Linked DNA regions of Canis lupus familiaris. The protein of the gene in region 3 purifies or fractionates together with the protein of the main gene of each other region. This does not show direct contact. Links are inferred from orthologs where the notes say so. Each region holds a gene or a part of one and is shown on either strand. Other genes may lie near its edges. The genes, in order: APEX2, RBX1 and CUL9.

Region 1 (10,599 bases), on a different chromosome or scaffold from region 3:
CTAGACCTTGGAAGAGATACAACTCTCTTAATCCTAATAAGTCTTCTAATAAGTATTACTCTGCTAATAATTATTTTTTCCTTGGCATTGGCTTTCCTTGCTACTGAGTTGGTTTTTTCTTTTTCTGACAATGCAATATTGCATATACTGTATTTTGTATTACTTTTTAATTGAAGTATAATTAACATACAGTGTTACATTACTTTACAGAATAATTTAATAATTCTATACATTTCTTAGTGGTCATCTAGATAAGTGTACTACTCTTAATCTCCTCTATCTGTTCTACCCCTCCCATCTACCCAGTTTGTTCTCTGTACTTAAGTGTGTTTTTTTGGTGTTTTTTCTTTGTTTGTTTGCTTCTTAAATTCCACAAATAAGCGAAATCATATGGTATTTGTCTGACTGACTCATTTCACTTATCGTAATACTCGCTAGCTCCATCCATGTCATTGAAAATGGCAAGATCTCATTCTTTTTTATGCCTGAATAGTATTTCATTGTGTGTATATGTATATATATGTATGTGTGCATATATATGTATATGTATATATTTTTGTGTGTGTATATATGTATATCACATCTTCTTTACCATTCATCTATTGATGGACATTTTGGCTGCTTTCATATCTTAGCTATTATAAATAAGGCTACAATAAACATAGGGGTGCATATATCTTTTTGAGTTAGTGTTTCCATTTTCTTTGGGTAAATACTCAGTAGTGGAATTGCTGGATTGTATGGTATTTCTATTTTTAGTTTTTTGAGGAACCTCCATACTGTTTTCCACAGAGGTTCCCTCAATTTGCATTTCCACCAACAGTATATGAAGGTTCCTTTGTTCCCACACCCTTGCCATCACTTGTTATTTCTTCTGTTTTTTATTTTGGCCATTCTGACAGATGTAAAGTAATAACTCTTTTTTATTTGCAATGTTAATAATCCTAATAATAACTTTTTACATGTATGTTTTCCATTGTCCACAAAACAACAACATATTCCATATCCTAGTTGCTCCTTACATTCTCACTAGTTTCATAGGGAAACTAAGGTCTAGGGAGATGGGAAAAAGCTTGTCCAAGGTAATTGAGCTGGTTACATGAACCCCCTTCTATGTTTACAGTTTTGTCCTCATGACTCTGCCAAGAGGCAGAAAGATAATTTTAGCAGCAGGAAATCTGAGATAGGAGGCTAGCAGGCTATTGGCAAGGTCTGAAAGGGTAAACCTAGGGTCCAGGCTTGAAAACCCAAGTTAAAATTGCCTGGAACTGGAACTAGCTAGCTGGTTTTTGTTGTTGTTGTCATATTTTTTTTTATCTTGCTTTTGTGGTGTATGTGTTGTTTGTCTGGGTTTTTTGTTTGTTTACCTGTTATCAATTTTGATCCTAGAAGCAGGAGAACTAAACAAGATTTATGGAAAGGTCTCAGGATGGCTGTTCTAAATCAAGCCCCAACCTACTTCTCTAAGCCATGTCTCTCTTTCTAAGCCCATGCTTAACTTGCGCTTGCTGATTCATGGAGTCCCCAAACATAACATATATATATTTTTTAAACCTTTGGGCTTTTGCTCCACCTGAAATGCCTTCTCTTTCCTTCCATTCTCAGTGAAATCTAACTCAATCTTCAAGAACTGGCTCAATGTTGCCTCCTCTGGGAAGCTTTCCCTGTAATCTGGGATAGGCATTATCTTTGGTTCTCATATTGTCTGTATGTTTCCATTTATCTGAGCAAGTATCCACTAGTTTTTACTGGTGTACTTCCCTACTAGACTATGAATTCCTTGAGGATGGGAACTAGACTTCAGTTACCTGCGATCAGTGTTTCCAGTATTCAGCTCAGGTTCTGGCAAGGAGGAAACACTTGCTCAATGAGTATCTCTCTGCCCTAGATGAGATGAACGTATAGACAATCACTATTCGGAAAAGTAAATGTCATAACTGAGATCTATACAGGGAACTGGGTGGGCAAACTAACTAGGTCTGAAAGTAGAAGGTGGTATCTAGAAAGATTTTTTAACCTTGAATGGGGCAGAATAGAATGAGCAAAAGAATGAAGTCCACCCCACCTGAAAAAGTCCAATCAACTGGTTGCAGAAAAAGAGTTCACTCAGTATCAGTGACTCACTCAAGACCAAGATCTGATTCTAAATTGGGTTAACTCTATGGAGAAAAGCACACAGTGTGACTTCCTGAGATTCACAGGTCCTGATCATCCTCCCAAAGTATAGGGTATGTGGGAGAATCCCACTAAAAGCACTATTAAACCCATACTGATGGGTTACAAAATCACAAATGGAGTATCTCTATTAGTAATTCTTAGGAGTATGTGGGTATAAATGCATTTGTAGGGGGTAAGGGTGTACAGGGGAGATTGGCCACATGCTTATAGTTTAGGTGCGGATGTGTATTAGGCTTTCTGTGGCAACCACCTAGGTACCACTTAATTCTTAGTCACTGTTCTGGCCCACTATCCCCCCACCACATTCAGCCTCACACCTGGAGCCCAAGGATTACTGTATCCCAGTCCCAGGAGTGGCTCTCTACAGACCATAGTCACTCAGAGAGAAGAGCAGCTGGAGGCCTGTGGGTGGTATTGCCTGTGGAGGCTACAGAAAAAAGCAGGATCACTAATCTCAGACAGAGCATGGAAGTTCTGAAACATCTCCAGAAATTTGGTTCTTCTTCTCCTACTCCTCTTCACCTTGAGATAGCCCTCTGAAGGACGTAGGCCAGGGATTTCAATTTCCATTTTAGTAAGAAGGTTATTGAAGCTCTGAGAAGGTTGAAAAGCTTGTTCAAAGTGCCACAGAAAACAAGACCTACTGTATATACTATTGGGGGAGGTAAGATATATAATCCCTACTATCCAGTTCACTCAAAACTGGAATAGACCAAGAGAGACTTCTAAAGGTGCTAGAGAACTGCCCTTTTGGTTAGTGTCCCACAAAGACAGGTGGCGATGGATGACAGAGAGATATAGATATCATCTTTTCCCCAACTCTTTCATACCCTTTAATGCTCACTTCAAGTAACCCCTATACAAAGAAAACTTTCCAGAAACCTAAAGAATGGATTTGGAATTGTGTATCCCTATCTATTTTTCCTTCTGTCTCACCTACCTGTTCTCCTAGAGGTTTTCTCTTCCATCACTAATTATCCGACACACAGCTTTCTTGCATTTAGACCTTCAAAGCAGGTACCTGGGTGGCGTTAAAGAGGGAGTCTCGAGGCGTTGGTTGGTTCCTTGAAAACACTGTGGAAGTACCCTTAATAAGAGGGGCATGTGTGTGCTCTGTTGAAATATCAGCTGTGTTAGTTGTCAAAGAAGTTCCTGAGCCACCGGAGCCTTTTCTCTTCAGGCCAACCATGTGTTCACCTTGCCCCAAAGGTCAGAACTAATATTAACAAGCAACTGCAGAATGGGGAAATTAAAACCAGCAATGTAGACAGGCAAGATCTGGATTTCCTAGGGGCTGAGTTTCAGATTGGTCTTTAGTGTAAATGGGCATGATCTCTTACTGGACAGTGATTTGGCAATATGAAGCAAGAGCAATAAAAATGTTAATTTCCTTTGTCCTAGTTATCCCTCTCCTGGGACTCAATCCTGAGCCAATAACCACCAAAGCATGAAAAAGCTCAAAGCACCAAAATTCTTATTTTAATTGCAGAGCTATTTATCCTGATGGCAACAACTGGAAGGTAACCTTTAAGTCCTCTAGGAGGAAAAGCAGCTATTTGGGCCTTTTCTGCAGACATTGAGGATGATGGTTCTAATAAGGTTATGGTATTCTGGGGGGAAAATTATGCTGCAGCTTAGGGTGAGGAACCTAAGAATGTGAAGTCATGCTTTTCCTTGGACATTGGGCATGTCTATCATTTCTATTTTTGTGTTCTCAAAAACAAGTCACTAATCTGTTGCTTTTGCATTTGCTCCGTGTTTGTTTATTCAATTAGGAAATATTTATTGACTCCTAAATATGCTGTGCCCTAGATTAGAGGATGGGGCTAACAAGATGAATCAGACATGGTCTTTGCTCTCAAGTTGCTGGCAGTTGTGTGACAAAAACAGCAATCAATGGTAGCTCTGCATTGCGATAAGTGCTGTGACAGAATGGACCACAGGGTGCTGTGAGGGCCCAGAGAAAAGACCTAACTGGGGAAGTGTGTGGGTGTTAAGGAAAAACTTATCCAAGAAAGTATTCCTTGAGCTGATTAAGATAGGCTTTGAATCCTGGCTCTACCACTTCTGTGAGACTGGGGTGAACTCACTCATTCTGTCATACTTAGCCTTAATACCCCTTATGGGGTTATCCAGAGAATCAAACAAATAATGCATGTGGAAGAGCCATGGGGTACATTGGGAGACAGTGCTGCTCTGGATCTTGGGTAGCCCACTTCAATTCCCTGGGCTCGACTTTACTTATCTGAGAAATGGAGCCAGGAAAAAGTATGTGTTGGGGACTTAAGAATGTTATAAAGCCCAAGACAAATAATGGCTAGAGGGTGGGCTTGAGACAGGTTCCTCTCTTCCCCTTCCCTTATAAATCTAATTACACTAGCATTTCTTTTTTTTTTAAGATTTTATTTATTTATTCATGAGTGACACACACACACACAGAGGCAGAGACACAGGCAGAGGGAGATGCGGGCTCCATGCAGGGAGCCCAACGTCGGACTCGATCTCGTGTCTCCAGGATCACGCCCTGGGGCTGAAGGCGGCGCTAAACCGCTGAGCCACCCGGACTCCCCATGCTCTAGAGCATTTCTTATTGCTCCCTCTAGCGGCGCGGTTCCCTTCGAGCCTCCCTTCCTCCACCCAAGCACAGTTACAGCAGTAACCCAGGACGACAGAGGCGCACTTGGAGGTAAGGTCAGTCTCACTGGGAGCGGGGCTTCGGTTACCGCGCGGTTTCGTTCTGCTGCTTAAAAGGTGGCGAAATCCCATCTGTAAGTAATTGGAAGCACCAAGGGGACTTTAGAGCTGCTCGGAAACGCAGTCAGACTGCGGTGTGCGGACGGAGTGCTGAAGGAGGAGAAGGAGCCTAACTGGAGGACTTCCTCTTGCCATTCATTCATCCTAGGCATTTGCACCACCCCATCAACTTCCGCTCCTCCCGCCAAATGAGAACTGAGAGGCTCGAAGCCCCGCCTCACTTTCGCCGACATTTTTCGTGGCGCGCAGGAAAACGCTTGGGCCAATGCGCGCGGAAGGCGGGATCTGGTTGGGCCGGGGGCGCCTAGTTGTCCTGTGTCCCCTACATTGGGCGCGTACTGTGAGGCTTTGCAGTTGGCCGTCAAGATGTTGCGTGTGGTGAGCTGGAACATCAATGGGATCAGGAGCCCCCTGCAAGGGATGGTATATGAGGAGCCCAGCAACTGTGCCGCCATGGCCATGGGGCGCATTTTGGACAAGCTGGATGCCGACATCGTCTGCCTTCAGGAGACCAAAGTGACCAGTGAGCGCTCAAAAATCCAAGATCCCTACCATACTTTACCATTTCCACTAAATTTTTCCCCAACTTAATCTCATTTTACTTTACTATTTCTCTATCCGTAGAGTCCTCCTCTTAGACCTAGTTCAGAATCCTGACCCCTTTCTCTTAAACCCCTTTTTCTCACTCCAGTCTGATGTCTTAATTCCTACTTCTCCTGTCCTCAGCACAATCTTAATTCCCTCATCCGTGCAACCTTCCTCCTCGTACAGACCCTCTACATCCCACTCATTCTCCTGCCCCAGCTCAGTACCCCAAATTTCTTCCTCATACATTATCCAGCTCCAGCTCCCAAGTTAAATCCTCCAATTCCCCTCCCCCGCCCCCAGCTCATATCCTTTAATTTCCACCCCATTTTTGTTCCCAGCTCAGACTTCCTAATTTCTTCCCTTTTACCGCTCCCTCTCTCAATCCTCAGTTTTCCCCTCAGATCCCTTAGAGCTCCCCATTTCTCCTTTCCAGCCTCAGAACCTCTTATTTCTATCTCATGTCCTATGCCAAGGTTAGATTCCCTATTTCCCTCTCTCACACCAGAGCTCAACACTCCCCCCCCCATTCCTTCCTGCTCCCTTGCACTGGACCCTGAGACCCACTAACAACTTTTTCCTCCATCCCCAGTTCAGATCCTCTAATTGCTTCTCTCTCCAACCTCATATCCCCAGCTCAGATTCCCAGTTCCCTCTCTCATATTTCCATTTCGCACCTCCAGCTCCCTCCATTCACCTAATCACTAGCTTCCTCCCACCTAATTCTCCTCTCATTCTATAGCTTTCTTATTCTGATATCAATTCCCTCTCTAGTTTCTACCTTTCTAACTCCTCCTCTAATCTTACTCTGGCTCTGATGTGTGCAAGGAATTGCCCTACAATGTTAATTCCAGACCTTTGTTTCCTAGGCTCTACTTTTATCTCTGACACAATCTTACATCTGTTTTTTTGCAGGAGACGTGCTCACAGAGCCACTGGCTATCATTGAGGGCTATAATTCCTATTTCAGCTTCAGCCGCAACCGCAGTGGCTATTCTGGTAAATGGGGCTTTCTGGGAATGTTAAATTAGTGATGGAGGCAGGTCGGGGGGTGAAAAAGTTTCCAATATTTGATGAGAAAATAATAAGAAACTCAGTCTTTTAAAAGCTACTTTTAATACTTTGGAGTGAGCCCCACAGGAATAAAAAACTCTGGGAAGGGGGTAACCCCCTCACCCACAGGATGGCCTAGGGGAAGAGAGGCTAAGGGAAGGAAAAAAAGCACAGGAGGGATCCGCTGCGGAAACAGGACAAAAATGAATGCTAATGGTGCTGGGACCTATGAGCACTACAGGAGAAAATGAGAGCATGGTGGGACTGGCTCCAGGCACACAGGGGAGACCAAGAGGGTTGGACATGTAGCCACAGAGCTACTTGGGTTCCTCCTTCTCATTTGCCTTTTTTTGCTTTTCCTGAATGGTCTCTGAGGCCCTCTGTTTGCAGGTGGCAGCAGAAAGCCCATTATCTCAGTACTTTCCCTTAACCTAGTAGCTCTGCTTTTTCATATTCTTCTGGTGGATGCGCTACCTCTGGTTACCCTGGGTCATGGTGAGGGCAGCAGATCTGGCCTACCTCCCTTGCATCCCCTCATTCTGTCCCATGTTGTAGGCGCCACAGGCTTTTAGTCCACAGAGCTAAAGTCACATAAAGTTACATGAAGGATGGTTTTTTTTTTTTTTTTTTTTAATTTTTTTTTTTTTTAAATTTTTTTTATTTATTTATGATAGTCACAGAGAGAGAGAGAGAGAGAGAGAGAGGCAGAGACATAGGCCGAGGGAGAAGCAGGCTCCATGCACCGGGAGCCTGATGTGGGATTCGATCCCGGGTCTCCAGGATCGCGCCCTGGGCCAAAGGCAGGCGCCAAACCGCTGCGCCACCCAGGGATCCCGAAGGATGGTTTTTATGTGTAAAATTACCCTATTTGACTTTGGAAGCACAGTCATGTGGTGGTTTATTGTATGAACTTAGGACTGCCAGGGTTTGAGTCCTACCTCACTTCCTAGCTGTGTATCCTCTGACAAGTTACTTAACCTCTTTGTGCTTCAGGTTTCTCAGCTGAGAAATGGAAATAATGCCTATGTCCTAGGGCTACTACAGGCATACCTTGTTTTGTATATATACATAATATATATATATGTATATATACATTTATAAATAAACATATATAAGTAAATACAAGATAAGCAACAAATATATGAATTTACATATCTATATATTTTCATATATACATACATATATAAAGCACTTCACTATATTGTGTTTTTTTGAAGTTCGATTTATTTTTTAAAAAATATAATTAACATACAGTAGTATATTAATTTCAAGTGTATAATATAAAGATTCAATAATTCTATATATTTCTCAGTGTGCATCAAGAGAAGTATATTCTTAATCCTCTTTATCTGTTTCACCCATCCCCCCTACCCACCTCCCCTCTATACTTAAGAGTCTAAGTACCACTTTTTTTTCATTTTTTTTAATTGGAGTTCAATTTGCCAACATATAGCATAACACCCAGTGCTCATCCTGCCAAGTGCCCTCCTCAATGCCTGTCACCCAGTCACCCCAACCCCCTGCCCACCTCCCTTTCCACTACCCCTTGTTAGTTTCCCAGAGTTAGGTGTCTCTCATGTTTTGTCACCCTCACTGATATTTTCACTCATTTCCTCACTTTATTGTGTTTTGAAGATACTACATATTTTATAAATTGAAGGTTTTTTAAGATTTTATTTATTTATTCATGACAGACACACAGAGAGAGGCAAAGACACAGGCAGAGGGAGAAGCAGGCTCCATGCAGGGAGCCCGATGTGGGACTCGATCCCGGGTCTCCTGGCTCACACCCCAGGCTGAAGGCGGTGCTAAACCGCTGGGCCACCGGGGCTGCCCTAAATTGAAGGTTTTATGGCAACCCTGTATTGCAAGTCTGGCACCATTTTTCTAGCAACATTTGCTTACTTCATGTCTCTTTTTCACATTTTGGTTAATTCTTAAATATTTCAAACTTTTTTTATTATGTGTAATTTTTTTATTATTTTTTAAAGATACATACTTTATTTTTTTAAAGATTTTCTTTATTTATTTGAGAGAGAGAGAGTGAGTGAGAGAGAGAGAGAGCATGAGCTGGGAGAGGAGCAGAGGGAGTGGGAGAAATAGGCCCCCACTGAGCCGGAGCCCCCTGTGGGGCTGCATGTGGGGCTTGATCCTGGTACTCTGGGATCATGACCTGAGCCGAAAGCAGACACCCAACTGACTAAGCCACCCAGGTGCCCCTTAATAATATTTGTTGTATGGTGATCTGTGATCAGTGCTTGCAACTTGCTAAAAGCTCAGATAGACAGCATTTTTTAGCAGTATTTTTTAATTAAGGAATATACATTGTTTTTTTTTTAGACATAATGTTAGCACACATTTAATAGACTATAATATTGTAACCATATAACTCTTATGTGTACTGGGAAACCAAAAAATTCATTGGACTTTATTGCAATATTTGCTTTATTGTGGTAGTCTGTAACTGAACTTGCAATATATTGTGGTGTTCCTGTACAAAGATTAAACAAATTAGTCTGTGATAATAATAATGGCTAATAATTTTTGAACACTTACCATGTATCCATATAAAACATTTAGACCATTAGCTATTATTGTTCTGTGGCTTTTTTAGATGAAGGAACTGAGACTCTCAAAATTGCCTCAGGCTTTCAGGAGCCATCCATGGCCCTTGAGTTGGGAGAGTTGTCAGTATAACCACATTAGATGAAGTTGACTCAGGTGACCCATTTGGGGGCAACAAGCAATACGATAGGCTGTTGACTTCTAGGACCTCTCAGAGTATCCTGTCTATCTCCAGGTGTAGCTACCTTCTGTAAGGACAGCGCTACTCCCATGGCTGCTGAAGAAGGCCTGAGTGGCCTACTTGCCACTCATAATGGGGACGTGGGTTGCTATGGAAACATGGATGAATTCACCCAAGAGGAGCTTCGGGCTTTGGATAGTGAGGGCCGGGCCCTCCTGACACAGCATAAGATCCGGTAATAGCCCACATCCCTTTGCACTGAGCACTGCTGGTTCTACTCTTAGTGTAGTGACTCTGAGGCTTACCTTGTATACTTATATTCATCATGGAAAACATCCCAGATTTGCCTTTCTTGGACTACAGTTCTGACTGGGCTACTCATTATGTGACCTTGGGCAAATCATATTCGCCTCTGGGCTTTGAGTTTCCTATCTCTAGAGTGGGGAACTGGCTGGGAGGTATAGCTCCCTTATTACCACAGGCACCTCAAAGGCAACTTAGCAACTCATCGCCCCAAGTTGCTCTCTTTCTGAGTATCCTGTCATTGTGAATGGCAGCACCGTCACCTGGTTTACCTGGGTGTTATCCTAGATGCCCCTCTCCCTGTTTTACCTGTAGTCTGTCCCCAAGTCCTGTGCATGCCGGCATGTTCATGTATTTCTGTCCCCTTCACATCCATCCCACAGGCAACCATTAAGTGGAAGCCACACGATGTGGAGAGGGGAGATTTGGAAATGACCTTTTCTTGTGTGTGTGTGTGTGTGGGGGGGTCTCTTCTCCCCAGGACATGGGAAGGGAAGCAGAAGACCTTGACCCTAATCAACGTGTACTGCCCCCATGCGGATGCTGGGAAACCTGAGCGGCTGACCTTTAAAATGCGCTTCTATCGCTTGCTGCAGATCCGAGCAGAAGCCCTCCTGGCAGCTGGCAGGTATTGTAAACCTAAGTGGTACTTGAGGTTCTAGGTTCCCAGCCCATTTAGGTATCAAGCTCCATTGAACGGGATGTGGGATCTTTGTCTTTTGAGTTCCTTTACAGCCTACTTGGAGACACCAGCATACCTCCCAGAATGGGCTCTGCTCTCTATGAGCTGTGAGGATCAGGTAAAGTGGTACAAATATGGGTTTTGTACTTAGATACCTTTAAGCACCTATCCTGGCCCTTTTATTCACTATGAGTCCTGAGGCTAGTTCTGCTTTTATTTTCTCAAGTGAGTATATGAATCCCTACCTCACAGGATAGTTTTAAGGATGAAATGAGATAAAGAAGGTAAAGTGTCTAGG
Region 2 (10,562 bases), on a different chromosome or scaffold from region 3:
TATTCATGAGACACACACACACACAGACGGGCAGAGACACACGCAGAGGGAGAAGCAGGCTCCATGCAGGGAGCCCGATGTGGGACTCGATCCCGGGTCTCCAGGATTAGGCCCTGGGCTGACAGCGGCACTAAACCACTGAGCTACCTGGGCTGCCCAGATTTCACTTTAAAAGAGGGATATGGACCTATGGTTTAGGAAGAGGCTAATTTCTCACGGGCAAAGGCTGGGTCTAAGCCCTTCTGGATGCCCTTTTCATTTGGAACAAGATTATCTGAGGTAATGGAGAAAACCTAGAAATATTGTGCATTTCAGCAACTCTTTAGAACAACAAAGAAATGGGGCAATGTACAATAAATACAAAGCTAGACTAGGGCATGTAGTATCAATTTTGACTCAAAACAGGAAGTCTTCAGACCAAACATTCTCAATTGGGCACAACCATAATCACTCTTATTTATTTATAGCTATGTATATAATTATTCACTTAATGCCAGGCCAGAATTTATTAGAAAATGGCCATTGCTAAATCAAGATTCTTATTTTCAGCTTTAACAAAAAGTCTTTTTATAAGAATCAGAATCCATTTATTTTTTTTTTTTTATAAATTTTTTTAAAATTTTTATTTATTTATGATAGTCACAGAGAGAGAGAGAGGCAGAGACACAGGCAGAGGGAGAAGCAGGCTCCATGCACCGGGAGCCCGATGTGGGATTCGATCCCGGGTCTCCAGGATCGCGCCCTGGGCCAAAGGCAGGCGCCAAACCGCTGCGCCACCCAGGGATCCCAGAATCCATTTATTTTTTTAAAGGAAGACAAACCCAGTTGTGGCAACCAGACTTCTCTTTAGTGTCTGTAATAAACAAAAGGTTATGTTTCTTAAAGTAAAAACTTGATCTCAGTCATTGTTTTATCCTGGTGCCTAGCAAAATGCCCAGGATGTGAGTATTCATTGCATGAATAAAAGACAGGACTCTTAATTATAAAAAACAGACTCTTAATTATAGAGAACAATCTGATGGCTACCAGACGGGTGGTGGGTAGGGGGATGGGTTAAATAGGTGATGGAGATTAAGGAGTACACTTGTCATGATGAGCACCGGGTGATATATGGAAACGTTGAGTTACTATATTGTACACCTGAAACTAATATTATGGTGTATGTTAACTGGAATTAAAACCTTAAGAAATAAAAATAATAAACTGTTTTATCAATTAAAACTAAATAAATGAATGACTTGAAAATGCTTTTATAATTTCTTGTTGTAAAAGTTCAATATTCTGGGGTGTCTGGCTGGCTCAGTCAGCAGAGTATCAGACCCTCAGGCTCAGGGTTGTGGGTTCAAGCCCTACGTTGGGGCCTACTTAAAGAAAAAAAAGAGTTCAATTATTCTACTTCACCTAACATTTAAAATATATGATAAAACAGACAGGAGTCTAACTGAAGACCTACATTGATCCCTCAAGAGTTCAACTCTAAGAGAGAGTATCAATAGCCTTTATCTGTGGTGCTCCTCCCAAAAAGCACATTCTCTTGCATCCAGAGAGACACAAAATAACTTAAATATAGAAGCAGGAAAAAAAACCCAAGCAGGGTTATTTGAAATCATTAACTATTTACAGAAGAGAGACCAAGAAAATAAAATTTGCTTTGGGCACAACTCCTTACGAAAATGTAAAGCAACAAAATTGGCAAGCATGTAATCAAAGACCCCACCCAAACACATTTAAAACTGTGCATGTGTTTTTCTGTGATGGGTTTCTTCTATCTATATTAAACATCATGGTAGCTGCTGTCTGCTTTGACTGTTGTGTGAAAAGGTAAACAGGGTCAAAACTCAAAGAAACAAAGGGCAATAAACTATCAATACATGATATTTGATTGGGGCTTTCCAAGTTGCAATGATCACAGACTATTCTTCTATTTTGTATTTTAATTATTCACTGACAAGTATTTAGCAAGAACCTATTATGTACTAGACACTATGCTGGGAGTAGAGCAGTTAAAAACATAGATATGATTGAGAACCAACTAAATTAAATACTACCAAGGAAAGTATAGACGGTCTTGGGAATATTTAATGGAACCATCATAGTCTGTGCGTATTTAAGTATGGCCAGGGAACACGTCTCTGAGCTAGTTCAAGGTGAGATCTAAAGATCAACTACGGATTAGTTCCACATCGTCCAATAAAGTAACCACTAGCCACATGTGGCTGTGAGCACTTGAAATGTGGCTAGTCTGAACTGAGATGCGCTTTAAGTGTAAGTACACTTCAAATAGTACCAAAAACAGAATGTAAAATAGTTCACTTTAAAATATTTACATGTTGAAATGAAATTTTCTTGGATATAGTAGGATAAATAAAATAGAAATCATCTGTTTCTTTTTATTTTGATGTGGGTACCAGAAAAATTTAAATTATGTATGTACTTGCATTTGTGGCTCATATTTAGATTGGACAGTAGTGGGTCAGGCAAAGGTAGTGGGGAGAAGGGGAATATTCCAGGCAAAGGGAACAGGGCATATTAAAGGCTCTAAAAAAGAGCACGGACACTTCGAGAATGGAAAGAAAGCCAAAGAAACTACCAGAGTGAGCAGGAGAGTGGTGCAAGATGAAGCTGGAGAGGCAGGTGAGTAATTTTCAAAGTAAGTGCCTGTAAATGCAACTCTACAAAGCTGAAATTTCTTCATCTCATATCTGATCTCTGTAACAAACCATTTCAGTACCTGGAAGAAAAAGTAACCTCAGCTGTTCCTGGTGTGATCAACATACTTGCCCCTATTACTATAAGGACACGGAGTCCACGGATAGCTATAATCAAACCCACCATATACTGGCTACTATATGGGATGGAATCTGTAGATTTAAATGAAACTTCTTTACTGCAATTAGTTGTCTATTTAGATGCTGGCACCGATGTCCTCTTAACTTAGGGGCTAACACTGAAATTCCTTACTTCTTTGGCTTCTTTTCTTTATAAATCTTGCCAAGCAAAAACTAGCTTTGGTAGAATATTTTAGCTCAAAGTTTATTTTTTTTTTTTCCTTTCACTATTTTTGCCTTTGAGTCTGGGTATGAGATGGGAAATATAGAGGAATAATCAACAGTGCCTCTGTGTCCACAACTCATTCTAAATGTGTGCTTGCCATCTTTAGACTGAGTAGATTTATTCTGAGAGATGAGTATGTCTCCAGGATATCATTAAATCTACTCTATTTCAAACATACCAACGGACTAGAGGCAGAAGACACCAAGTGTTCTGACTATGCTTTATATCTCCTTGGGAAGAAATTTGGTCACATCAGAATAGCCACAATCTCTGTAACCTTCTCAACTTCCTCCCATCCACCTCCAGTTACTTACAAAGATCCATAATGTGGTTCCTGCAGATGGCACAGTTATCAACCACAATATCCCAGGCCCAGAGAGCTACTGCATTCCACTGCAAAGAGAAAAAGGGGGAACAATGCACTCTCCTTGTAACACAGGCGTACACACACTCTAGGATTTCATGCTGCAGCTACAGTTATCATCTCTTTGGCCACAAGGACCACCAGACACAGGAGCTTGGGGATATTACCTTACTCTTATTCATTTTATCAGAGGGCAACAGCAGACTACAAGTGTGCTCACCCATTTTCCAAAAGGCTGAGTATATGAACATAAATTAATGAATCCTCTTTATTTTCTCCTACAGCTTACAATAATTTAGTCAACTGTATCAATGTAAGAAAACCGGGAATAATTTTTGAGAGCCTGTTTTAGGCTTAATAAGCACAAATTTGAATTTCTGCAAAGGTAAATATACGCTCTTCAAGGCAGCTGTGAAGGTATGAGTGGGGAGGTGAAAGCTGGGGACAGAATGAACTAAGATGATGATTGGATCATAAAATGGGTAATCGTGGGATAAGCTGGATAACTAATTATCCAGTGTCAGTACAGAGCAAGGTCATCACTTAAATCTCACAAGATTATTTCACAACAAATTCTAGAATTCACTAAAATTTTGGTTAGTTCCTTCCATCAAATAAACTGGTGTTCTAAACTTTTACAAGCTCAGGCTCCTATTTAGTTCAGATAATTCCACTTAAGAGTTCATTTAAAAGCGGTATTTAAGTAATTCAACCTTTCTGGCTTCTGCAATTATAAATATCCCCAAACTCCCTTTTCATCCACCAATTTGGTGCCACTTCCAAAACCTTCATCTCTTTCGAACGCAATTCCCCGTCTAGTTAAACTTCTTTAGCACTTTCCGACAGCTTCAACTTGAACGGGGGAAAAAAAAAAAAAAACACAACAAAACCCTATTTCTATTCTTCAATATGGCTGCTGGCTGTAACTGAGCATGCAGTGCCCACAATGAAACACCAAAAAAGCACTAGGAGGGGGGAATATTGTCAGTGTTTAGCCAGATGTTCCAGGAATAACATTTCCCCTATTTGAGTCTTCATTTTGAACAGATTTATTTTATATCATGTGAGAATCGGCACTTTCCTCCCAAACTGTTGGCAAACCACTATAAAGCAGTTCATGCAAAAAGACACGTTCCACATTTTTGCTTTCCCACAGTCACCAGGTCGTTCGCCACTAGTACTCAACCCTTCCTAAATGACACAAGGTTTGGGCTCGCATTTTCTTTTTAACAAATTCCACCATGCTTTCCCCCCCCCCCCCCCCTTTTCCTTTTTGGACAGAGGGATTCTGGAAACGAGCACAGGACTGTGGAGGCTGTGTGACAAACCAACAGACCTCTCAGAAGAGCCAAGAGTTGTTACACTGGAGACACTTTAACTCGGCGGGGGCGAGGACTAGAGAGAGGGCTGAGGGAGGCCTCGAGGAGGCGAGGACCAGGCTGGGGTCCCTCAGAGTCAGAGGGACCCCGAGCTTCGGGAAGGGGCGGGGCAAGGAGATCACCAGCCGGGCTCCTCAAAGGCCTCCACTGCGGTAGGAACTCAGGTCCCGGCTTTCGCCGCACTGCCCCCATCCTCCACCCACCGCAGCGCTCCGACTCCCCCTTCCATCCACCCCACCCACTCCTCCCCACCCCTCCACCACTCCAGTGACAGCTCAGGCGCTTGGCTCCCTCAGCCAAGTCTCAACCCCGCGCATCTCAACAAGCGCCTCTGTGATTGGCCCCTCAGACTCCTAGTGAAACCAATACTGCCATTGGTAGTGGGCCCCAGTCACGCCGATCAACTCTAAGACCCGCCCCCCAGCTTCCTTTCCTGGTACCCGGTCCCAGGAACGCCCTGAAATGAAGCCCTTTCCTCCGCGCCTCGGTCATCCTCGGGCCTGCCAGCCAGATCCGCGCCTCTCTAGCCTCTCTGAGGAAGGCGCTGGCGAGACCCAACCTTTTTCACTTCAAAGCGCTTCTTGCCCGCGCCGCTGTTGGTGCCGCTCGGGGTATCCACATCCATCGCTGCCGCCATTTTGGAAACACACGGTCCGTCGTCCGGCCACTGCGCCTGCGCACCAGCGCACGCCTCGCTCCCCCTCCCGGCCCGGCACCTCCTCTCGCACCCCGCCCCTTACTGGCGCGCGAGGGGCAGGTGGGGGCGGAGCACGTGGCCACGCCTCTTAAAGGCGCTGGCGCAGGTCCCTCCCTCCTCCTTCCTGCCGCCGGCCCCCGAGTCGGCTGGGGAAGAGGCGGTGGCCGGGGCGGGGCCGGGCGGGGCCGAGCCGACGTGCTCGAACCGGGTGGAAACGCTCGAAAGACTAGTCTCCTCCCGCGGGAAGCCCCCGGCCGCGCTCCCTCGGCTGGGGCGGCGGCTGCTTCCTCCGCCTCGGCCGCGACCTGCCGCCCCGGCCCCGCCCCGCCTTCCCCGCTGCCGCACCGCTCCAGCGCCGGCGGGTCTTCCGCAGCGTTCCGCCCGGGGAGCGGCCAGGGCGGGCGCCCCGCCTCCTGCAGCCGAAACCGGAGACCCCGCAGTGTCGCGGGTCTCGGCTCGCTTCCGAGCCAGGCCCGACGTGCAGCCTCGCTGGGAAAGCCGGGCCCAGGCGCCGTTAGGTCCCTGATTCCGATTCGGGAAATGCTCGGGATTCGACAGGGAGCCGGGAGCTCCCCGAATGTCCTCTCCAGGGCCCAGCCGCGTAGGCATTCTCCCGTCCTGCCTCAACCTGCCCACCTGGAGCCTCGGGGATGCCGCCGCCCGCCCGCCCCAAACGCCATCCGTGCTAGAATGCCCTTTGGTTAAGGCGCAGGGTTTCAGTTTCACATACTCTTAACACACCTTTCCTGTTCCTCAGTTGGCCACCTAACTGTGGGGGTCCCCTCTCCCTGATCTCCATCCTCTTCCCGCTCCTTGCGCCGTGGGCACACTGCAGTCCTACTTGACTTTGTGTGAGGCGTTTGGCCATTGATTCTTACTGGTCGTTCCCAGCCAAAGCACCTGTACTTCATGTCTGCACCCGGAACCCCTTGTGGCTCTCTAACCCTGCAGAGGTATGACTCGGCTAGATCACTCCTAAATCTCGTATTGGCTTATTTGGAATCTCGTATTTTCTCTTGAAAGAAAATTGGAGCATAATGGAGTGTATGGACTCCACTGCCAAACCGGAAGAACTGCGATTTGTTTCCTTGCCTTAGTCATAAACAGGAACAACAAATCCATGAAAACACCACCAGGGCTTACACCAGACTTGGAAAGAGAAAAATTGTGTGAGACCTTAAAACGTTACAGGAACCCTACAAAGTTTTCCTTAGCCCAAATTTTGTTAGAGTGATAATTCCATGTTAAGATTCTTGTCATCTAATTGATTGTGTTCCCAAAGGCCCCTACGGGATACTAAAAACCCATAGTAAGTTAACGTATTAAGTGTATATTTAACCTTCATTAAACAAATTCATTGAGTATGTATGAGATCGTGTTATAAATTGGAGAGACACGGTGATGAACAAATTCCTGGTAGAGAAATAATACACAAGTAAGCAAATACATTGGGGAGGAAAAAAAACCATCCTCAGGTATCAATAAGTGCTATTAAGAAGACAAAAAGATATCATGAAATTGAAGGGAGAATTGTGTGTGATTAGGTAAGGTCTCTATGAGGAGTGACATTGCAGCTGAAGTCCTTACAAGGGCCTAAAAGATCCTGCATGATCTGTTACCCATTCATTTAATACATTGTCTTCATTTTTAGGAAATGGTACACATAATCTAACATGGTTTTTATTTACTTATTTATCAGGTTTATTGTCTTTTGTGTGTCCTCACCAAGAGGGGATTTTGTTGTTGTTGTTTTGTTTATTGGTAACAATACAGTGCCTTGTACAGGGCAGGGCTCAGCATGTGTTGAATGAACAAAGTTGAAGCTTATGGAGCAAGGAGATTGTGGTAAGAGGTGTCAGACAGACAGGCAGAGGCCAGATCAGGTAGGGATCTACAGATATTATGGGAAGGTGTTGGAGGGTTTAAACTAGGGGAAGGGACTAACAGTGACAAAAAAAAATTTTTTTTAAGTTTTTAAGCTTTGCGAGGAAGGGATTATAGGGATACAGGAGAGGAAGCAGCAACATTTGGCAAGTTGATGGCTTTGTATAGAGCTACAGTGGGGAGAAGTATGATCTTAGGGGCTGTTCCATTAAGCTATGAAAACCTCATGTACTGATCTCTCCTTTGGAGATTTGCCTTGGCGTGGTGATTGTCCATGATGTTCAGTACCCTGGACTCTACTGCATAAACCTAAGAAAACTTTTTGTAGATTTCATACAGATTCCCATCTTTCTTCATAATTTCACTCAGCTTACAATGTAATAGGTTGTAATTTTACTCTCATCCATCCACTCATTCAAATATTTCTAAAATATCTATAGAACCTGCTGTGTCAGGGATGCCTAGGTGGCTCAGTGGTTGAGCGTCTGCCTTCAGCTCAAGTTATGATCCTGGGGTTCTGGGATCGAGTCCCACATCAGGTTCCCCAGAGGGAGACTGCTTCTCCCTCTGCCTATGTCTCTGCCTCTCTCTCTGTGTGTCTCTCATGAATAAATAAATAAAATCTTAAAAAAAAAAAAAGAACCTGCTATGTCAATACCCCATGCTAATCTAGGTAAAAAGGCAATTGCTTTTAAAAGTATTTGCAAAAGGCCCCTTTCATCATTGCTCTTATGGTATACTAGCAGAGAGGCAAGTCAATTATTGATCATTCCAATGAATTTTAGGAAAAGGGAAGTTTGGGGTACTGTGAAACAGAAAGTGGGTCTGTGTGGGGGGGTGGGTAGTGAGGAAGTCTTCTTAGAGGAAAAGGTTTGAGATTGAAGCATAAGCTGGACAAAAAGCAGCAGATGCAGAAGGATGCTGGTAAATGCTTAAAAACCAGCTCTAAAAAAAACAACCAAACAAACAAGAAAGCTCTGATTTGTAGTGTGAACAGCCAGATTGCAAAATTCCTGAAAATTGCTCTTGTAAGCACTTGTAAGCTGATGTACCCTGGCTCCATCACACACACGCTGAGTGATATGGAAGAAAATGGCATTCCAGGTAGAACAGTGTGCAAAAGGGACTCAAAGCTGGAGAATGCACAATGCATCCGTAAAGAAGTCTGGAATGGCTGGAATATAAAGAGAGAGTGATATAAATAAGTCTGCAATGATGAGCAAGAGTCAATTGTTTGCATCTCTTTTCAGTTCTATATTTGACAATGTTATATTGGTAGCTTGGAATTAGCTATAATAGTAGTATTTACACCATGGAAATTGGCAAACACAGCATATCAGAGCTTTCCACTCCCCAATTTATTTATTAAATATTTACCACTGGTAGGGGCCAGGTCATGCTGAGTGGTTCAATGGACCCATGCAAAGGGTTCTGGTATTTACCTTTAGTGATGGGAAGCCTTTGAAGGATTTTAACCAGTGACTCACATGGTCAGATGTGCACTTTTAAAAAGTGCTAGAACATGGCCTAAAAGTACAGGAACTGGATCCCAAAGATTACAGGTGGAGAATTTTTGAAGTATGTTCATATCCATATGGAGATGAAAGAAGCACAACTGAAAGAACTCTGTACTAACAGTGACAATTGTGGATTGAACAGAAGTTCTTTTTTAAAGGGGTATTTTGAATATTATGATTCTGATTTTGGAGGAACTGTAGTGATTAGCAGTGGAAGGAATCATGTAAAATTCCTTAAATGAAAATATAATGACTTAAAAATTTTTTTAAAAAGTGTTAGGGCTTCGATGAAGTAGACATACCTTTCCCTATCCTTCTCTTTTAAGTACCACTGAAATCCCTGAACAAGTTATATTAAAAAAAAAAAAAAAAGACTCTGAGAGATGAAGAGGCAGATAAGTTAGAGACCTCAGGTTTTGAGGAGTGACATGGTAGTGAGTTTCCTGAGTGTTCTTTTTTACTTCATATGTCTCAGACTTGGAGCTGAAGAAGCTGGTAGCCAGAAATGCCAAAGAGTGCAGACAAAAAAGGGAAGAAATAAATAGAAAAGAAAGAAAAGAAGCTGCTTTCTTTTTTTTCTTAAAGATTTTATTTATTTATTCATGAGACACACACACGGAGAGCGAGAGAGAGAGAGAGAGGCAGAGACCCAGGCAGAGGGAGAAGCAGGCTCCATGCAGGGAGCTTGATGCGGGACTCAATCCTGGGACCCCAGGATCACGCCCTGGGCCAAAGGCAGGTGCTAAACTGCTGAGCCACCCAGTGATCCCAATATGCTGCTTTCTTTAGCAAACAGAAAACTTCAGATGGTAACTACTCTACTCGAAATAACACAGAAAAAATGTGGTGCCACTTGCACCCATGCCAGCAAAGCTGAATGGGGAGCCTAGTCTGTACAGCTTGCAAGTCTTTAACCAGGTGCCCCAACACCCATGCTACTGTGGTGCAGGCCAATTAAGGAATTAGAGTTCTCATCCCTTCTGGCTGATAACGAACTCTCTTAACCCTGCTGTGTAAGAGGGGATCATACTGAGGTCTGGACATCCACTCCAACCCAGCAGTAATGAGGCAACCCTTCTCCCTGATGGGGTGGTGATGGAGTCTAGTGGAGAGTGAGGACTTTCACCATCAGCAATAATGAGGATGCCCCCACTGCAGTGTCAGTGGAGACCATGTAGGGAGCTGGAACTCCTACCCCCACCATTGGGTGTTAATGGAAACTAAGTGGGGAACCTGGACTTTTACCTCCATACTCCCCTGCTGCCATGATGTCAAAAAAAAAGCCAATTAAACTAGAAGGTTTAAATAAAATCTAGAGTCTCATATTATAAAGATGTCCAGTTTCAGTTTCAGATAAGTTGAAACATCACTCAACTTATCAAGAACCGCAAAATCTCAAAGTGAATGAAAAGACTATCAATAGATGCCAGCACCAAGATGACAGGGTTGTTAGAATTATCTGACAAAGACTTAAAACCAGCAATGATAAACACTTTTCAGCAAGCAGTTACACAAACACTTGAAACAAGTGGGAAAATAGACTTAACCAAAAAAATAGAGATAAAAGACCCAAATGGAAATTTTATTTATTTTTTATTTTTTAAAAAATATTTTATTTTTTTATTCACGGCAGACACAGAGAGAAAGAGAGAGGCACAGGCACAGGC
Region 3 (9,918 bases):
TGGTGAGTACGTGCGAGAGACGCTGCAGGCTGGGATGCGAGTGCGCATGCTGGATGACTACGAGGAGGTCAGCGCTGGGGATGAGGGCGAGTTCCGTCAGAGCAACAACGGCGTGCCCCCCGTGCAGGTGAGCCAGGGCACGTGTGAGATGCTGTCGGGGCTCTAGCTGGGGGAGCATAACTGGGGCTTCCATGCCAGGGGCTCTGGTAGGCCACCCATGGAAAAAAAGACCCGTGGGGATTGGAATGGTGAAAGGGGGTCAGCAGTTGAGAAGGGCTTGGGAAAATTGGGAAGGCTGAGAAAATTGGATGGGCTGTGAGGCCAAGCAGAGACTCACGTCCAGGAAGCAGAGCTGATACATGGAGACACTCTGCACCCCCACCCATTTAGTTGGCTAGGAGGAAGTGTCAGAGCAGAGACCATCAGGGTTAGGAGGAGATGAGTGGCAAGGCCAACCCCATAGGGAAAGGTAGCCTTTTGCTATACAGAGGCTTTCCCCAACTTAGCCGGGTGTGCATCTGAGGGCTATGGGGCCCAGCTCCAGGCCCAGCCTTGTCCTCTCAAGCCACACCACCCAGGGCTCAGAACCCTATTCTCATTTTCTTCCTCCCTCCACACTAGGTCTTCTGGCAGTCAACGGGCCGCACCTACTGGGTACACTGGCACATGCTGGAGATCCTGGGCCCAGAGGAAGCTGCTGAGGATGCGGCTTCAGTGGCTGTGGAGAAGGGGGCAGGGGCTCCCCTGCTGGACACAGGTGAGCCTTGAAGGGCACATGGACACAGCATGTCTCTGAACAGAGGAGTAGGCCTGGGGCAAAGCCACTCCTGATCAAGAGCTGCCCTAGAGATTCAGAAATGCACTCTGTTCCTGTGAAATGATAACACCGCTGTTCCTGTGTCCTCAGCCCTTCCCTCCTGGGACTGGAAACCTGTGGATGGGCTCTACTCTTTGCCGTACCTCCAGCCCGAACCTCAGAAGAATGAGCAGTTGGGATACCTGACCCAGGCTGAGTGGTGGGAGTTGCTCTTTTTCATCAAGAAGCTGGACATATGTGAGCAGCAGCCAATTTTCCAGAATCTTCGAGAGAACCTAGATGAGGTATCATAGGCCTGAGATATTTGGGTTTATAGTGGGTTTGGAGGCAGGATTCTCTAAAGGAGTTCAAGATAAGGAGGTGCTTAGGGGGAGGCTGGAGCTAGAAGTTAGAGAGTATGAGGGGGCCTGCTCGGAAAGGAGATAAATGCTGTGAGGTCTGGTATGTAGAAGTTTGCAAGGCATGGCAGGAGGCAGCAACCCTCCCTATTTTTGTCCCCAGGACCTTCAAGTCTACTTGTCCCTGAAATGCATACCCTTTTCTGTTGACAGACCCTGGGTGACAAGGCCCTGGGTGATCTCTCCGTGCCCATAGAGATGGCTGAGGGTCTGCTGCAGGTGCTCAGCAGTCGGTTTGAGGGTAGCACCCTCAGTGACCTGCTCAACTCCCAAATCTACACCAAGTATGGGCTGCTGCCTGATGAACTAAGCATCTCATCTTCTTCACGAAGTCACTCCTGTACTCCAGATCCAGAGGAGCAGTCCAAATCAGAGGCCAACTTCTCAGAAGAAGAGACTGAGTCTCCCAAAGCAAAAGCTGAGCCCCTGAAGGCAGATGCAGAACCTGCCAAGGGAAAAATTGAGCCCCCCATGGCACAGAGTGATTCACAGCTATTTAACCAGCTTCTGGTGACTGAGGGAATGGCTCTCCCCCCTGAGATGAAGGAGGCGGCCAGTGGTGAGTCACGTGCTGGGAGGAGAGGGCAAAGAAGTTGGAACAAGTCCTGGCCAGTCCCCACAGAAGTAGTTAGGGTAGAGCAGAGCTGTGGACTAAGGTTGCTGTTGCATGGGAAAATACTCTGGAAGCATGCATCCATCTTCCTTCCTTTGACCTTGGGTGTATCCAACCAATCACTGCTCCCTTCAGTATCCCAGGAAAAGGAGGGTCTGTTTTCCAGAATATCTTCATCTTCAGTGTTTGGCTATTAGATCCCTCACACAGAATTAGAAAAGCTCGGAATGCAAACTTCAGTAATGAATAATGTATTAAAATATCAGTTGGATAACTGGGCTTGACCTTTAAAGACTTCCGAGTTGGAGGAGCCTCAATTTTTCCTAAGCCATTACCTTTCCCTCACCAATTTCAGAAATGGCTAGAGGCTTGCGGGGCCCTGGTCCACGCAGCTCCCTGGATCAGCATGTGGCAGCAGTTGTGGCCACCGTGCAGATATCCAGCTTGGACACAAATGTGCAGCTTTTGGGGCTCTATGCCCTCTCTCAGGCTGTGGAAGAAGTCACTGAACGGGACCACCCTCTGGTCCGTCCTGACAGATCCCTGAGGTTAGTTAGCATGGTGGGAAGGGAAAGGGGTTTGGGCTTAAGCTGCCATTGGGGGAGGATGGTGGGAAGGAGGGAAGGAACTATAGCAGGAAGTTGAAAGGCTGGGGGTGAAAGAAAGGTCAACCTGAGGAGCAACCAAGCAGGATAATGGACTATTCTAATATACTCGGAGGACTTACTCTGTGCCAGGCTCTGTGCTTCAGGTTCTACACACATTCTTCTCTCTGTCTTCCTTCCTGAGGAAGAGTTGATGCTATGCTTATGCCATTGTTTGGGTGAGGAAACTGAACTTTAGAAAATTTAACTCATGGAGTTTGACAGCAGAGCCAGGATTCAAACCGAGCTCCTTTTGGCTCTACAGCTTGAGTTCTGACCCTGCTCCATGAGTTCTTTTATTTTCTTTTTCCTTCCTTCATTTGTTCCTTCCTTCCCTTCCTTCCTTCCTTTTTAAAGTTTTATTTATTTAAATATCTCTACACCGAACGTGGGGCTTGAACTCACGACCCCGAGATCAAGAGTCACATGCTCTTCCAACTGAGCCAGCTGGTACCTCTGAATTATTTTACTTTTTCTCCCTTCCTATTTTCTATTTTCAAAGATTTTTAAAACTGCTTCTTAATTTTACAAATAATACACAAATGCACTCCATTTTAAAAGATCTGAAGAATGTAAAAGAACATAGTACAGAATCCCTTTTTTTGCCTGTTGCCAGTCTGCTGTGGATTTTTCAGACCTTCCGTAGATGTACATTTGTTAGTGTGTTTGGAAATGGAATATCTTCTGAGTTTGTGTTTACATCTGTGTAATCACGCTACATGTTTCTACAATTTTCCCCCCACACTCAGTATGTCTGAGAGGGCTCTCCACGCCCATCCACATAGAGCTGCCTCATTACTTTCACCACTGCGTAGGACTCTGCAATAGGATTATCTCCAAGTTCAAGTACAGTGTTCTATTGGATCTGTTTTCCTCACGTCTGCCAACACTGGATATTACCATTTTTTAAAAAAATCTATCAGATTGGCAGAATTTTAAATGATTGATATCTTTGTTTTAATTTCTTTTCTAGTGAAGCATATTTGCATGCATTTGTTGTGTTTCTTCTTGTACAAATAATCTGTTCTTATCCTTTGCCCATTTTCCTACTGGGTCTTTGTTTTTTTTCTTACTGATTTGTAGGCAATCTGGATATTAATCTGTTGCTAGTGTTTCATATATTTTGCTTTTTTTTTTTCAAAATCGTATTAACTTTTCTGAACATAAAATAATATATGCGTCCTGTAAAAAAAGTTAGAAAATTATGAAGATAAAAATTATCTGAAAAACCTTTGGAGAAAGAGTCACTGTTCACATTTTGGTAAACTTTCTTACTTATATTTCTATATCCATTCATATATATGGCTCATGTGGTATTAACTTGTTTATAATAAATCCTGGCTACAGAAGGGGATTTATATTTGAGGCACATTTGATTCATGTTGTTGTCATCATAAAGCTCATGAGAAAAGACAGACAGAATTTTCCCAGGCTACCTCCTCAATATGTATCTCTCACTATGGAGAAAGATAATTTCACTGTTTTCCTTCTTGTGATGTTCAGGGTGATCTAGGGGACTCTGGAGCACTTCTTTCTTCTCTTCAGATCAGCAGTTCATAGGACTCTTTCCCTTCCTCACAATTGCTTATCTCTTAACTTTATGGACAGTGTCTTTCACTCTGCTAAAGTTTTAGAATTTTAAATTAGAATATTTTAAAACTTTTTTAAAAAAAGATTTTATTTATTTATTTACTCATGAGAGACACAGAGAGAGAGGCAGAGACACAGGCAGAGGGAGAAGCAGGCTCCATGCAGGGAGCCCGATGTGGGACTCGATCCCAGGACTCCAGGGTCACACCCTGGGCCAAAGGCAGGAGCTAAACCACTGAGCCACCCAGGCGTCCCTATTTTAAAACTTTTAATGGCTTCTAGGTTTTGGGTGGCTCTGTCCTTTTCCAAGATTATAAAAAAATTTCCCTGTATTTTGTAAATATTTTAAAATCTGTTTGCAGTTTCCTTATGCTGATGGGCCTGAGGCATTGCTGCAGCTGTAACTGTTTCTGCTGTCTCCACCTCACGGGTCGCATGGCCCTTGCTGTTCTTACTGGCTGGGATGTTACCCTTATCTAGCGATCTGTATCTACCCTGTGTCTTTAGTAGAGTTTTAATTTTCTCGAGTTTATATTTTGATAGCTAGCATACGAGTCTACCCTTGTTTCTTTTTTTTTTTTCTACCCTTGTTTCTTTCTAAACATTTCTTAGCCATTCTTGCGTGTTTTCTCATCCTCTGACTGAAGCTGCCTGTCCTGTGTTTTGTAAAAAAGACCTTTTAGGCATTGTGATAAGAATTACAAATAGACTTATTTGAAAGGGTGAGCCAGAGTCTGTGACCGTTTTTGCCCTACGGTCTCCTTGGTACAGTGAGGAGCCAGAGGCAGTTAGCTGGCAAAGGAAAGGGGATGAGGGGTGAGCCTAAGGTGAGGAGTGCAGGTTGGGGAGCGTGGGGTGATCTTGGTGGAAGGGGTTGGGCAGGGAGTCAGGTGTGACTTTGGGGATGGGAAACGGCCATGTCTCTTCTCTCTAAGAGAGAAGCTAGTGAAGACACTGGTGGAGCTGCTGACCAACCAGGTGGGAGAGAAGATGCTGGTGGTACTGGCTCTGCGCCTCCTCTACCTGCTGATGACCAAGCACGAGTGGCGCCCACTCTTTGCCAGAGAGGGTGGCATCTACGCCGTACTGGTTTGCATGCAAGAATATAAAACCTCCGTCTTGGTGCAGCAGGCGGGGCTGGCGGTGAGTGGACTGGGCCTGGCGGGAGAGGACGATGGGCAAGAGGGCAGGCTGGGCACTGCTGACCTTGGGGAGGTGCTGTGGTGACTTAGACCAGGGAGGAGGCTTGGGATGGAAAGATACAGGTGGGTTAAGGGTGTCAGCTGGACAGTCTTGGAGATTGAGTGCGTGTTTGGACAAAGGGACTAGGATATTTTTAAGAACGACTCCCAGATTTAAAATGGAGCAACAGAGGGGATGCATAGGCCATTTACTTAGTGGGGGAATGTAGCGGGAGGAAAGCTATGGGGAGAAGATCTGGAGTTGTGCTTTTAGTTTTGTCGAATTTCCCATGTCTTTTTAGGTACCTGTAAGTGTTTGGCTAGAGACTAATTTTCTGCATGTGACAAAGTAATTTTTTACCCTTTGATCTGAGTGATACCCTTACATAGAAAATACTCCCTTGCCAGATGTGGGTGCCTTGCCACCCTGGGCCTAGAGGATGGAGAAGGGGGGCCCTCGTTCAAGGGAGCTCACAGAATTGGCTTCCTGACTACTCCAGATACAAGTGCTGGCTGGTAGGAGGTGTGGGCAGGGTGTGTTCTGTCTAGCCTAGGGTCCCTGAGGGGAACAGGTAGGCTTCATCTGAATTAGTTCTGAGAATGGATTCCAGGAGTATAATGGCAACAGCATGGACAGGAGCACAGGTCCTCTTAGAGCAGGCTGTTCCAGAGCGAGGTTGGGAGGCTCTTTCCTGTGCAGGGCCAGCTAGGTGCTGCTCCTCTGAAGAGCAGCCAAGCATTTGTGTCTAGGCCATGTTTGCTCAGAGAATTCCGTACTGACCCTTCCAGATCACATGATCAAAATACAGCACTGGCCCCTAAATTCAAACACTTGCCCCGTAGCAGAATTGCATCATCTTGTTTATAACCTCAGGCTTACAGAATCCAGCTAATTGGGGAGAGGAGGGTAACCGAAGGGATAAAGCCTCATTATAAAGGTAGCATATGCATGGAGGATTCAGGCCTTATAAGGGAGAGTGTCCTGAGAATTAGTTCTAATCTCTATCCCTAGCAGGTTTCTTCTCAAGTGTTAACCCTTTCCCCAGGGAAGAGAGCCTCCACTCTAATGGTATAGCGTTTATCTTCATTTAATTTTCTATATAGTACCAGCGAACAAGTTCAGAAATTCCAAGAATTTTTTCCTGTAATTCCAGCCCCTCTTTCTGTGAGACAACCCAAGTAGTCTTATTGAGGAAGGTTGGCTACTGGCTTTGGAGGCTCAGGGACATAGGTTTGCAGTGTCGGCATATCAGTGGTGATTGAAGCCGTGGGAGTAGGTGAGGTTGCCTAAGCAGGGAGTGCAGAGTGAAAAGGGGGCAGGAACTTCCATGTTCAAGGATTAGGCAGAGGAATTCCAGAGAGGCAGGCCGACCAGGACAATATGAAGTCCTGGAACTCAAGAGAAGAGAGGTTTTGCAAAGCGGGGGTGGTCAAGTGAGATGGAAGACAGTGTTAAGGAAAGCCTTGGAAGACAACTAGATGCTGTGGAAAGGTCCTAATCCTGAGAGGAAGCTGCGGGAGGGGACAGTCACACCACTCAGCCACTCAGCCTCGTTGCTGGCAGAGCGAAGTGGCAGGCTGATTTTATCATTGAGCCTCATTTTTTTCTATGCTTTCTTTGCTTCTCTCTCTTTTTGTTTGTAGCATTTGATATCCCATCATGACCTCCTTCATTTTCATCTCCTACTTGACCTACTTGCAAACAGCTCAGCTGCCCCAAAGTTTGGAGTTGAGAGTGAGGACCTGGCTCTCCTCTTTTTCTGCAGGGTGGCTCTGCCCACCACTAACTCTGCTTCCACATCCCCATTGCAGGCACTGAAGATGCTGGCCATTGCCAGCTCCTCGGAGATCCCCACTTTTGTTACTGGCCGAGATCCTATCCACCCTTTGTTTGATGCCCAGATGACCAGAGAGATCTTCGCCAGCATTGACTCAGCCACCCGCCCAGGCTCTGAGAGCCTGCTCCTTACTGTCCCTGCGGCCGTGATCCTGATGCTGAACACAGAGGGGTTAGCGCATCACCCTCCAAACTCCCGCTAAGCCCCAAGCCCCACTACTGCTCTGCCCACATCTCATCTGCTTCACAGAAATTTCCCTTATGTTGTTATCTTTGGATGAAAAATTGGTGGCCCTCTCTGACTGTTGTTAGTAGAGAGGCTGAGTGACTGGGGGTAGGGAGTTCCCCAGGGAGAGCAGGGACACCCTGACCTTCCTTCCTGGGGTTGGGGGAAGTGACCTGAGGTCAGGGAGCTGGGTGTCCTGGCCTCAGAAGGAGCCCTGGAGCCCTTTCCTCCCTAGCTGCAGCCCTCCTCCTTTCTAGACTTGCTCTCTGCTTCCATTGCATTCACTCTCTTTCAGTTTCTTCCCGGGTTACCACCTTCCTCACAGGTGCTCCTCCGCCGTGAGAAATGGTCTGCTCCTGCTCAATCTGCTTCTGTGCAACCACCACACTCTGGGGGACCAGATTATAACCCGAGAGCTGAGAGATACCTTATTCAGGCACTCTGGGATAGCACCGGGGACAGAACCCATGCCTACCACACGCTCCATACTCATGATGCTTCTCAATCGCTACTCAGAACCACCAGGCAGTCCTGAGCACACAGGTACCATTGTGGATGGCGTGGTTCTTCTGAGGAATCAGGTAGTGCCAGCCTGTGGCCAGGAGGGCTAAGGCTTATATACTAGTACCTTACTGGAAAGATACAATGAACCTCTAGGAAAGGAGTAAGGGTTTTGGCACTCAAGTTAGGTCTTAAGTAGAACTTTCTGACGAAGAGGAGAAGGAGACTCTAGGATAGGTAAGGAAAATTATGTATCTAAGGCCAGTATATGGGGTATCTGGTTAGTGCAATCAGTAGAGCCTATGACTCTTGATTTTGGGGTTGTAAGTTCCAGCCCCATGGTGGATGTAGAGATTACTTTAAAATAAAATCTTTAAAGCCACCATGCTAGGTAGTAGGGAGGTATAATTATAATAGCTTATATTTATTGGCTTATGTAACAGCAGAACTACCACTTAATAATAACAGGTAATTGTATGACTATATGAGATTAAAAATGTGTGTGTTTAACCTAATAGTGTTTGCCATACTAAACTTTATTTCCAGACGCAGCTAACTATGCATTTGGGGCCAGAGAAGAAAATCCCCCACAGTTTGGTGCAAACTACAGACATCCTCCCAACAGGAGGAAAATTGGGGGGTGATTTTCTGGACCTGCCCAGTTTTCAGTTTGACCAACTTGCATGACTCCTCTTCATACTCATTTTTTTCCTCCCATGTGTCCGGGCAGCAGCACTGGAAACCCCTGGTGCCCCAGGCCAGGATGGGTCCCCTGAGCGCCTGATCCGATCCCTGGCGGGGGGCCCGTCTGCAGAGCTCCTCCTGGGCTTGGAACGAGTGCTGTGCCATGAGGGCGGCCCCAGCGGTGCCATGAGGCCCCTCCTCAAGCGCCTCCAGCAGGAGACCCAGCCCTTCCTCCTGCTGCTGAGGACTCTGGACGCCCCAGGGCCCAACAAAACTCTGCTGCTGACTGCACTGAGGTGAGGGGCCTGTTGGGGCACCCATGTATCAGAGGCCAGGGGAGCTGGCAGACTGCAGGGATTTTGCTTGTCTCCATCCCCCAACCAGGGTCATGACCCGGCTGCTGGATCACCCCGAGGCGATGGTCCTCCCCTGGCACGAGGTCTTGGAGCCCTGCCTCAACTGTCTCAGTGGCCCTAGCAGTGACTCTGAGGTACCAGAGCCCTGGCAAGTGCAGGGGAGGGAATGGCAGCTTCTGGGGGCATCAGCTACCTTGTAAGGCTCTGGAAGGCAAAGCGCAACCTTTTTGGGTGGGTCTGAAGGCAGAGGGGTAATTAGGAAGGAATGACATATCAGAGTCCTGAGAACTGGGGCCTTGGAAGTATAAATTTGTTGGCTGCAGCTGCATTTTAGATTCTGAGTTTGGGAGAAGCCCACATTCACCGATCTAAACATTCCTCACTCTCTACCTTTTCGGGTTTATGTGTTTTAGACCAAGGCTCAGGCACCAAGGCAGGCTCTTGAGAGCTTCGCCCTGGCAGGAAGAAGCATTGGGAGCTGTGCCTAGGCTCTGCCGGCTCTGGAGTCCCAACACCCTACTGCTCTATCCCAACCTTTGGTACTCTCCTTTTCCTGGGCTTTCAGGCTTCTCCGAAAACTCATCTGCCACATTCTTTTTTCTAAACCCACCCCTCATCCCTTATGTGGCCTGCCTTTTGTTTCCCATATGTTAATCTCTGTGGCTCTGGGCTCAGATTGTTCAGGAGCTGCTCTACTTTCTGCATCGCCTGGCCTCAATGCATAAGGACTATGCTGTGGTTCTCTGCTGCCTGGGAGCCAAAGAGGCCCTCTCCAAAGTCCTAGACAAGCACTCGGCTCAGCTGCTGCTGGCCTGTGAGCTTCGGGACCTGGTGACAGAGTGTGAAAAACATGCCCAACTCTACAGTAACCTCACGTCCAGCATCCTGGCTGGCTGCATTCAGGTGAGGAGGTGTGTGGGTCCAGAGCTGAGGGAGAACATAAACCAGAAGCAGGGGAAGAGGATTCATTGTGGGTCCTCCTTTGGTAACCCTATTTGGCACAAATGGTAGCAAATCTGGGGCACTTGTTTCCCCAGTCTTTACCCCACATGGTCCTGTTCTGCCAAAATG

What was found.
Region 1: the proteins of CUL9 (region 3) and APEX2 purify together in Homo sapiens (affinity purification with mass spectrometry; 3 studies listed by BioGRID and IntAct, counting the BioPlex papers as one, with this or other methods). This does not show direct contact. The link is inferred for Canis lupus familiaris from reciprocal best matches to the Homo sapiens genes CUL9 and APEX2.
Region 2: the proteins of CUL9 (region 3) and RBX1 purify together in Homo sapiens (affinity purification with mass spectrometry; 5 studies listed by BioGRID and IntAct, with this or other methods). This does not show direct contact. The link is inferred for Canis lupus familiaris from reciprocal best matches to the Homo sapiens genes CUL9 and RBX1.

Annotation. Positions count from the first base shown.
Region 1 is NC_049260.1:46,894,972-46,905,570, forward strand, and holds the start of APEX2 (DNA-(apurinic or apyrimidinic site) endonuclease 2), read left to right. Parts: upstream 1-5,298; coding exon 5,299-5,455; intron 5,456-6,432; coding exon 6,433-6,516; intron 6,517-6,887; exon of another isoform or gene 6,888-7,064; intron 7,065-9,370; coding exon 9,371-9,551; intron 9,552-10,100; coding exon 10,101-10,247; intron 10,248-10,599. UniProt on the Homo sapiens protein: Functions as a weak apurinic/apyrimidinic (AP) endodeoxyribonuclease in the DNA base excision repair (BER) pathway of DNA lesions induced by oxidative and alkylating agents.
Region 2 is NC_049231.1:25,233,332-25,243,893, forward strand, and holds the start of RBX1 (E3 ubiquitin-protein ligase RBX1), read right to left. Parts: upstream 5,517-10,562; 5' UTR 5,435-5,516; coding exon 5,357-5,434; intron 3,448-5,356; coding exon 3,369-3,447; intron 1-3,368. UniProt on the Homo sapiens protein: E3 ubiquitin ligase component of multiple cullin-RING-based E3 ubiquitin-protein ligase (CRLs) complexes which mediate the ubiquitination and subsequent proteasomal degradation of target proteins, including proteins involved in cell cycle progression, signal transduction, transcription and transcription-coupled nucleotide excision repair.
Region 3 is NC_049233.1:11,867,610-11,877,527, forward strand, and holds part of CUL9 (cullin-9), read left to right. Parts: coding exon 1-127; intron 128-621; coding exon 622-757; intron 758-907; coding exon 908-1,101; intron 1,102-1,368; coding exon 1,369-1,774; intron 1,775-2,183; coding exon 2,184-2,376; intron 2,377-4,997; coding exon 4,998-5,205; intron 5,206-7,055; coding exon 7,056-7,252; intron 7,253-7,601; coding exon 7,602-7,849; intron 7,850-8,537; coding exon 8,538-8,787; intron 8,788-8,875; coding exon 8,876-8,981; intron 8,982-9,522; coding exon 9,523-9,750; intron 9,751-9,918. UniProt on the Homo sapiens protein: Core component of a Cul9-RING ubiquitin-protein ligase complex composed of CUL9 and RBX1. The CUL9-RBX1 complex mediates ubiquitination and subsequent degradation of BIRC5 and is required to maintain microtubule dynamics and genome integrity.